Linked DNA regions of Astyanax mexicanus. The main gene of each other region encodes a partner of the protein of the gene in region 2 in a complex. Links are inferred from orthologs where the notes say so. Each region holds a gene or a part of one and is shown on either strand. Other genes may lie near its edges.

Region 1 (3,755 bases), on a different chromosome or scaffold from region 2:
TAGGTACTTGACAATTTTCAAATTTTAATAGAATATAGTGTATGGAATATAAAAAGTGGGCATACTTTGGTTGAATTTGACACAAAACACTGGTAAATAACGGTCAAACCAGTTAACAAAAGACTTTGGAGTTTTTCATTTTTAAATGGTTTTTTAAGTATCATAAAATTAATATGAATGTTTAACAGGAATATCGTGAGTTTGGGCGTGACATCTTTTCCAAATTCATCATCTGACTTCCTAGGTAAAATCAACACAGCCTTACTGTTTAAGGGTGGTTTATATGTTGTTTAACTTTGCTCCTTAAATAAATAAATAGGTTTCCTTTGTCTCGTAATACATTTTGACAAACAACAAAACAAACAGTGGAAATGTGAACAACAGCAAAACATTTACATAACATAACACAACTGACTGAGTGCTAATTATTCCCTCACTGTTATTTTAACAAAATCAAACACATACCTGAAGATGAGGTTTAGCCAATATACCAGCTTTTTGGAACAGGCAGACCACCTGGCATATCATAGCAACTGCCACTACAGCACCCATGGCATACAGCAACCACAAAGCATACACCCCGACCCCAAATACCATAGCAACCATCTAGCAATGTCATATCAACAAGCTAGCAATTCCATGCAAATCTGCTGGGATACACAACAACAACCATCTTGCAACATCTCGGCCTCTAGTGCACTACAGTATCTATTGAGTAAAAAGTATTGTATTTTAACTAACTTAGATTTATTTTCACACCTTTCAAATATTCTTAATGTTATCTATTATTTTACACTCAACTATATCATCTTACTATATAAAACACATCTAATAAACCTGTAGAGAAACAGAAAAGTTTGGACTCATCTTAAATTAGGTGTTTTTCTATTATTAAAAAATTGTCTGCATTAGACTAATACTAAAGTAATACTAAAGTCGTCCAAACTACGAAAGAAAAACATGGAATTATTTAATAAACCAAAAAGTGTAAAACAAACCAGAATATGCTTCATATTTTACATTATTAAAAGTAGCGCCGTATGCTTAGATGTCAGCTTCACGAGGTAGAGTCACCTGGAATTCAGGTTTTCAGTTAACAGCTGTGCTGAACTCATCAAGACTCACCAGGACCGCCCCAGATACCAGTAATTTTGGTTTGTTTAACACTTTTAAGTTACTACATGATTCTTTATGTTTTCCTTAATAGTTTGGATCACTTCGGTATTAATTTATTATATAGGACAATATAAATAATCGAATCGCACACACTCCGCAGGGTGGGCGGGTCTGTGGAGCGGGGTGGGCGGGTCTGTAGAGCGGGCGTGTGAGCGCTTCCTGCCCCGCTCCGCTCCGCACTCTGCCGCTGGGAGGCGGAGAGACAGACGGAGGGAGAGAAGGAGAGAGAGAAGGAGGGATGGCGGAGAAGAGCCCTGACCCGAGCGGCTCGGCCGGCCGGAGGTGCGCCGCGCTGTCCCCGGCGGACAGACTGCAGTCCTCGGGGAGCGGCGGATCCTCCAAGTGGGTTCGGCTGAACGTCGGCGGGACCTACTTTCTCACCACGCGGCAGACGCTGTGCCGGGACCCCAAGTCCTTCCTGTACCGCCTGTGCCAGGCGGACCCGGACCTCGACTCCGACAAGGCAAGCGGGCAGAGCCAGCTGCACTCCCCCGGCTTTACTAGCTTCTGTAGCGGGGTGGGACAGTCTTAAGGTGGAATTTAGGTGGTTTGCTGAGTTTGTAATTTGTTTTTTTTAGCTAAAACCGAGCTAACAAAGGGTAACTAGAGTAGCGGCAGCAGCGGGCTGTGCTACTCAGGCTAGCGGCGGTAGTGAGGGTAGAGTAACGGATTGGCAAACGGGCTATCCCCGCTCCTTGGAGGTTTTTTACAGTTTTGTTTTTAACAGTGCGAGGTTGTTTAATTTAACACAAGTTTGTAATCAATTTTAGAATATGTATAAGCTATTTAAACAGCCAGTTTGTGAGATATTGCTCGTGCTGGAGTAGCTAACGCTATATACTTAGTTAAGCTAGTTTACATGACAAACCGGCAGTTAGCCTGCTAGCTGCTAATGCTAAAGCTAAATGTTAGCTTAGCATAGGCAAAATAACAGTAGCAGCAGTAACGTTAACTTAGTTATAGTACTATAAATACTATATATTACAATATAAAAAACATACTATTAAATTATAAGAGTTAGCTATTATCGGTATTATAAGAGTATAATGTTGAAATAAATTTTAGCTAATTTAACTACTTAGCTAACCTATATTTTTAGCCAGTGCTAAACATTAGCTTAGCATAGGTAATAATAAAAGTAACAGCTAGTAACGTTGGTAGTAGGAGTAGCAGCAGTACTACAGATTACTAATAATAATATAAATTTAAATTATAATTGTAAAGTTATATATTATGGTTATTATATTAGAAAATGTTGTAATGTAAGCTAATTTACTAAAATAAAAAAAATATATATTAGCATAGCATAGGCAATAACAACAGTAGCAGCATTAATAATATACTGTATTTAAAAAGAAACAATGAAATTATAAGTTAGCTATTATCGTTATTACATTAGTATACTGTTGAAATTTAATCTAATTTAACTACTTAGCTATATTTTTAGCTAGTGTTAAACATTAGCTTAGAATAGGCAATGATGACAGTAATAGCTAGTAGTAATAGGAGTAGCAGCAATAGTACCACTACACTACTATAATAATACATATAAATTATAACTAACAGTTAGCTATTGTGGTTATTATATTAGTTAACATTATAATGTAACTTAACTAATGTTTTTAGCTAATGCTAAACATTAGCTCAGCACATGCTTTAATTTTGGGTGCTATTAGCTGTAATAAAAATACTATAACTGGGTTAAAAGGGTAACAGTTGTTTTGGTACACTGTATTCATTTTTAAACAGATATTAATGTTTGGACACATTCTCATTATTATTTCTCCTTTATTTGTATTATTTACTACATTGTAGATTTAAAGTTTTTCATGTTTTTTTCAGGAAACAAACACAACTACTACTAAAATTAATTGATTTAGGCAGATTTTTGCGGATGCACCTACGTGGGAATTCTGGCACAATGTCGATATTACACATGCATATATTTATCCATGCTGATATACACATTTTTTTTACTCGCAGAGAAACCACACACCCAGATATAACTTTAGAAACAATTGGAGCAGTTTAGCTTACATTTTAGCTTTGAGTCAACTGTGTACTAACAATAAAATCAAAAGTTTCTCCTGAAAAATTATTTTCACATTTATTAAGATAAATGGTCTTTACATAGCTTTACACACAATACAGGTCAAAGAAAACAATAGATATATTAAAACTATTATAAAGAAGTCACCTCTATTTTCAGTATATAATTAAAGCTCTAAGCAATACTGCTGCTACTTCTATTAGTTCACCCTATCTTAACCTTATTTGTCAGTGTGTGTCTCCTGAGGCATGTGTTAATGTGTTGTTATTCCTCACTGCAGTTGGGTCATTGCATTGTTGTTTGTCGGCTGTTATACATTCTTTCTAACTGCCAACTGTCTTTATCCCCTCAGAAACCTATGTTGTTGATGATTATCTTTGTTTTTAGTTGTCAGACCTGTTTAGCATTCACTTAAAAGGGTGATGGTAGAGTTTCATATTCAAAAAACTGTTGAGAGTTGAATAATTTTTGTTATTTTAGTATTATTTTACACTAAATGATATCATCTGTTATTATAATAACACATCTA
Region 2 (3,755 bases):
TATGGATTCTCCATATCTTTAAGATGAACTGGAGCGCAGAACTGATCATACTAATAATCCAACATTACCGAACTGCAATGCCATATATGGTTGGTCCCATATAGGCCCCATCATTACAGTGCACCTTAGCTTCACAAGTGTACAACTTGGATGGGGCTCATCACTAAAACATAATAGGCCACTTAAAATATATGAGTTTTTTTATTTATTTTACCTAATTGAAAACCTCTGAAATATAATCAAGTGGAAGATGGATGATCATAAGCCAACAAACAAAGCTGAACTGCTGAAAGTTATTAAAAAGCTGTGTGAAAGACTGGTGGAGGAGAACATGCCAAGATGCATGAAAACTGAGGTTATTTCAGAATAAAACAGCAATGTTCATTTTACTCAAGCATATACCTATAAATTGCAAAATCAGAGAAACTGATTAAGAAACTGAAGTGGTCTATTTATTTTTTTTCCAGAGCTGTATGTGGGGCCAATATGAAACCAATTTAAAAAGAAAACTTTTTTTTATTATTTGCTGTTTATTTTACAGACATTTTGAGAAGAAAACTCATAGTAAACTTAATAGTAATGTTTTTTTTTGTTTGTTTGTTTGTTTGTTTTATTGAATGAATGTGTCAGTGCATGAATATATGAAAATATAGGAGACCATCTCATATCTATTCGCATGTGTTGCAGTAGTGAGAGAGGTTCACATACACACAGTGTGTGTGTGTGTGTGTGTGTGTGTGTGTGTGTGTGTGTGTGTGTGTGTGTGTGTGTGTGTGTGTGTGTGTGTGTGTGTGTGTGTGTACCGTCCGCCATCATTGGAGAGCAGCACAGCACAGCAGAGCCGAGCAGTCAGGCGCTTGTCAACAAGTCCCAAACTACTGGGATCTCCAGCTATTAAAGAAGGTCAAGTGGAGGCTGATCATCGGCTCCACGGACTTATCTCCCTTCCCTTTACCAGGACAAGTCTTTCATGTGAGCGAGGAGACCACCGGGGAGGCAGCCAAACATGTCAAATCTCAGCAAAGGCGGCACCAAAAAGGACACCAAGATGAGGATACGAGCCTTTCCTGTGAGTACAGGCCGGCGTCTGGAACGCCGCAGCCGGCGAGGCCTTCACTCGAGCTCCGGGGATGCGGGCTTCAGGCTCAGGCTTGAAGGCCCGAGTGCTCTTAAGCAGGGGTGCATAAATGTTGTCACCCATCCAAGAGTGAGCCGAATTACAGAATTAGAAATGCTGCAGCAGTAGCACCAACACCAACACCAGAGTGTCCATTAACTAGAGACAAGTCACCTCATTATAGCTGCATGTTTCCTGCTGACAGATTTTAGCTACACCAACCTTAACGCTAGGTTATATCATTTAGGTAGAGCTAGCTAACGTATGTAAACGCTAGCTATGTGACCCTTACTTGTTTTATGCCGATTATTTTTTGGAAATGCTCCGAATGTGAACGACATTCATGAGCTTAGCTAAGTTATTCGAGCTGTTCGTCTTCTCTTTTCACGAAGGTCACGAATAAAAACGTCCTAATCGACTTGTGTGTGAGAATAAACCGTGTTCAGACCGTCTTTCAGTCCCTCACTGATTCAGTTAACTAGGTCCCTGAAATGCGATATAAACCTGTGTATGAGGCTAACGTAGTTAGCTAGCTAGCTATTTAGCTAACCTAGCTAAATAGCTAGCTTGGCTCACTTGCGCAGTTCGGAGACTTCTAGCCCCGTTAGCTTAGCTGGCTAACTGACAGATAGCGCTAGATAATGTATTTTCACTGTTACACGAATTCGAATTATGCTCTTACGTGACTTTCGTACGTTTTTAAATCCCACACAACTGGACAACTCGAGCAGAAATGTTGTGTGACGCATTGAACGTAGCTAAATTAGCCAGCCAGTTAGCTTTTAGTTAGTTAACGCTAACGTAAAACATGTTATTAGCCCTTAGCTAGCTTAGTTAGCTATCGGCTCTTACCAGGACTTTAGCTAGTTGGTCAGTATGTCTTAGCTGTAACTAACTAGCCAGCTAGCTATCTTAGTTATGCAGAAGATTAAAACATAAAACATGCTATGACTGTACGAGCTATGTTGTTTTAATTATATAAGCTAGCTATTTCATTTAGTATGTGTTAATTACGTTAAAGTTAGCAAGCTACGCTAGCTAAGGAGTCCGTGTTTCCTGAGTGCCACTTAATAATAAAAAAAAAAAAGGTTCAGAATGTAAAAATCCATCCCATGATTTTGTTCCAACTGCATAGACTCTTGAGCTGCAGCAGAGCCGTCCGGGCAGTTAAAACAAAATCCTGGGGTGGATGTTTACTTTGTGGGGCCTGGATTAGCCACCTGACATGGCTTTTTTGAAAGGGTTCTGTTTTGTTTTCTTCTCTTAATTGACATCAATAACATTAGCAGGACGTGAGCAATACTTTAATATTGCATGATAATCGAGTGTTATGTATTATTAATATTTTTAAAAGGTCTGAAACCTTTTCAAGGTCCTGGACAAACAAAAAAACAATATTGAAAACAATAAACAGCCTTGCAATGCAACCCTATTATAACTTGGGAGCATAATATTGTGTATATAATGTATAGTAAACTATGTGTATTATCTCATTATGTTAGCTAGCAAGGTATGTCTAATAGTATTGCAAAAATCTAAAAACAATGTGTATTTTAGCCATAGAAACCTAGGTTACAGAGCCCAACAGATGGAAAAATACAATTTTGTGACTTCATAAATATTTTGCAACCTCAGTTAAAAGAAGAAACATTTAATTAGGTAAATTTAGGGAACAAATGGCTTAATCAGGAGGATGATGTCCTTGATGTATGCCTGTATTTTACAGTACAGTATTCAAATTCCTTCAGACTAAAGAATAAAGTGTAGAAACCAAACTGCGTGAACAGTATACATTAACACACATTTTCTTCTCCCAACCTGTGAAACGGACAGATTTCACAATACCCCACCTGAAGGAATTCGGCCTACTTTTTCTTGTGAAACTATTACGCTATGTGTGAATTCCTCTGAACCACGCCACTGTGTTTGTACCTGTTCCAATCATTTGGCTTAGATACAGTTTTATCTTGAGCTTTGCTGTTTAAACAGTCTGAAATAATGTGACCTTACAGATGGATAAGGGCAGAAAGATAAATGAAAGTGGTGTGGACTTGGTCGAGTCATGTTTACTTAGATCTTATGGCTCAGTATAGCGTTTAGAGTGACTGCATGGCATTCTGTTACTGCGGACAATGTAAACGCTTGAGATGCTTTGATAAAAAATGGACTAGGTACTACTTTGTACGGGGCACGATTCATCCTAAATACTAAAATTATTTTCAGAATGTGTCAGATATTCAAGTTTTGAAGGAGCTGAAATCATTATAGTACTGTGAAACCGGACAAAAACATATTGATGCAACCAAAACAAAACAATGTGAAGCTCCGAATAAATAACATGTCTGTGTGATGTGTATAAAACACAGTAAAAAAAAGAGCAGCTTTTAAAACCATTAAGTGACACAGTAAATGACAAATAACATAATACACATCACAGTACACTGTATTAATCACAGTGTCTTGACATAGTGATATGTGCAATTTTCATTTTTTTTTTTTTTTTTGCAATTTTACACAGTATCAGATATTTTGATTGCAGCCCATTTCAATCTGGATATTGTGTCTTTTTAAATAATATAATTTACATCAATTACAATTAGCCCTAAAATTGAACTCAGTGATTCTATTGCTTTAGGAT

Evidence for each region. Proteins that work in one complex are often made in the same cells at the same time.
Region 1: the proteins of cul3b (region 2) and kctd5a are in contact, whole or in part, in a cryo-EM structure (PDB 8U83), measured with the Homo sapiens proteins. The link is inferred for Astyanax mexicanus from reciprocal best matches to the Homo sapiens genes CUL3 and KCTD5. Residues at the interface, in NP_003581.1 of Homo sapiens: Thr24, Met25, Asp26, Glu27, Lys28, Tyr29, Val30, Asn31, Ser32, Ile33, Trp34, Asp35, Leu36, Leu37, Asn39, Ala40, Glu43, Asn48, Ser50, Leu52, Ser53, Glu55, Glu56, Leu57, Arg59, Asn60, Ala61, Tyr62, Thr63, Met64; in NP_061865.1 of Homo sapiens: Trp45, Phe55, Leu56, Thr58, Thr61, Arg64, Asp65, Lys67, Ser68, Pro96, Thr97, Tyr98, Phe99, Gly100, Pro101, Leu103, Asn104, Tyr105, Leu106, Arg107, His108, Gly109, Lys110, Leu111, Val112, Ile113, Asn114, Lys115, Leu117, Val122.

What each region holds. Positions count from the first base shown.
Region 1 is NC_064410.1:59,428,770-59,432,524, reverse strand, and holds the start of kctd5a (BTB/POZ domain-containing protein KCTD5a), read left to right. Parts: upstream 1-1,356; 5' UTR 1,357-1,414; coding exon 1,415-1,639; intron 1,640-3,755. UniProt on the Homo sapiens protein: Its interaction with CUL3 suggests that it may act as a substrate adapter in some E3 ligase complex. Does not affect the function of Kv channel Kv2.1/KCNB1, Kv1.2/KCNA2, Kv4.2/KCND2 and Kv3.4/KCNC4.
Region 2 is NC_064411.1:43,401,372-43,405,126, forward strand, and holds the start of cul3b (cullin-3b), read left to right. Parts: upstream 1-793; 5' UTR 794-1,006; coding exon 1,007-1,069; intron 1,070-3,755. UniProt on the Homo sapiens protein: Core component of multiple cullin-RING-based BCR (BTB-CUL3-RBX1) E3 ubiquitin-protein ligase complexes which mediate the ubiquitination and subsequent proteasomal degradation of target proteins.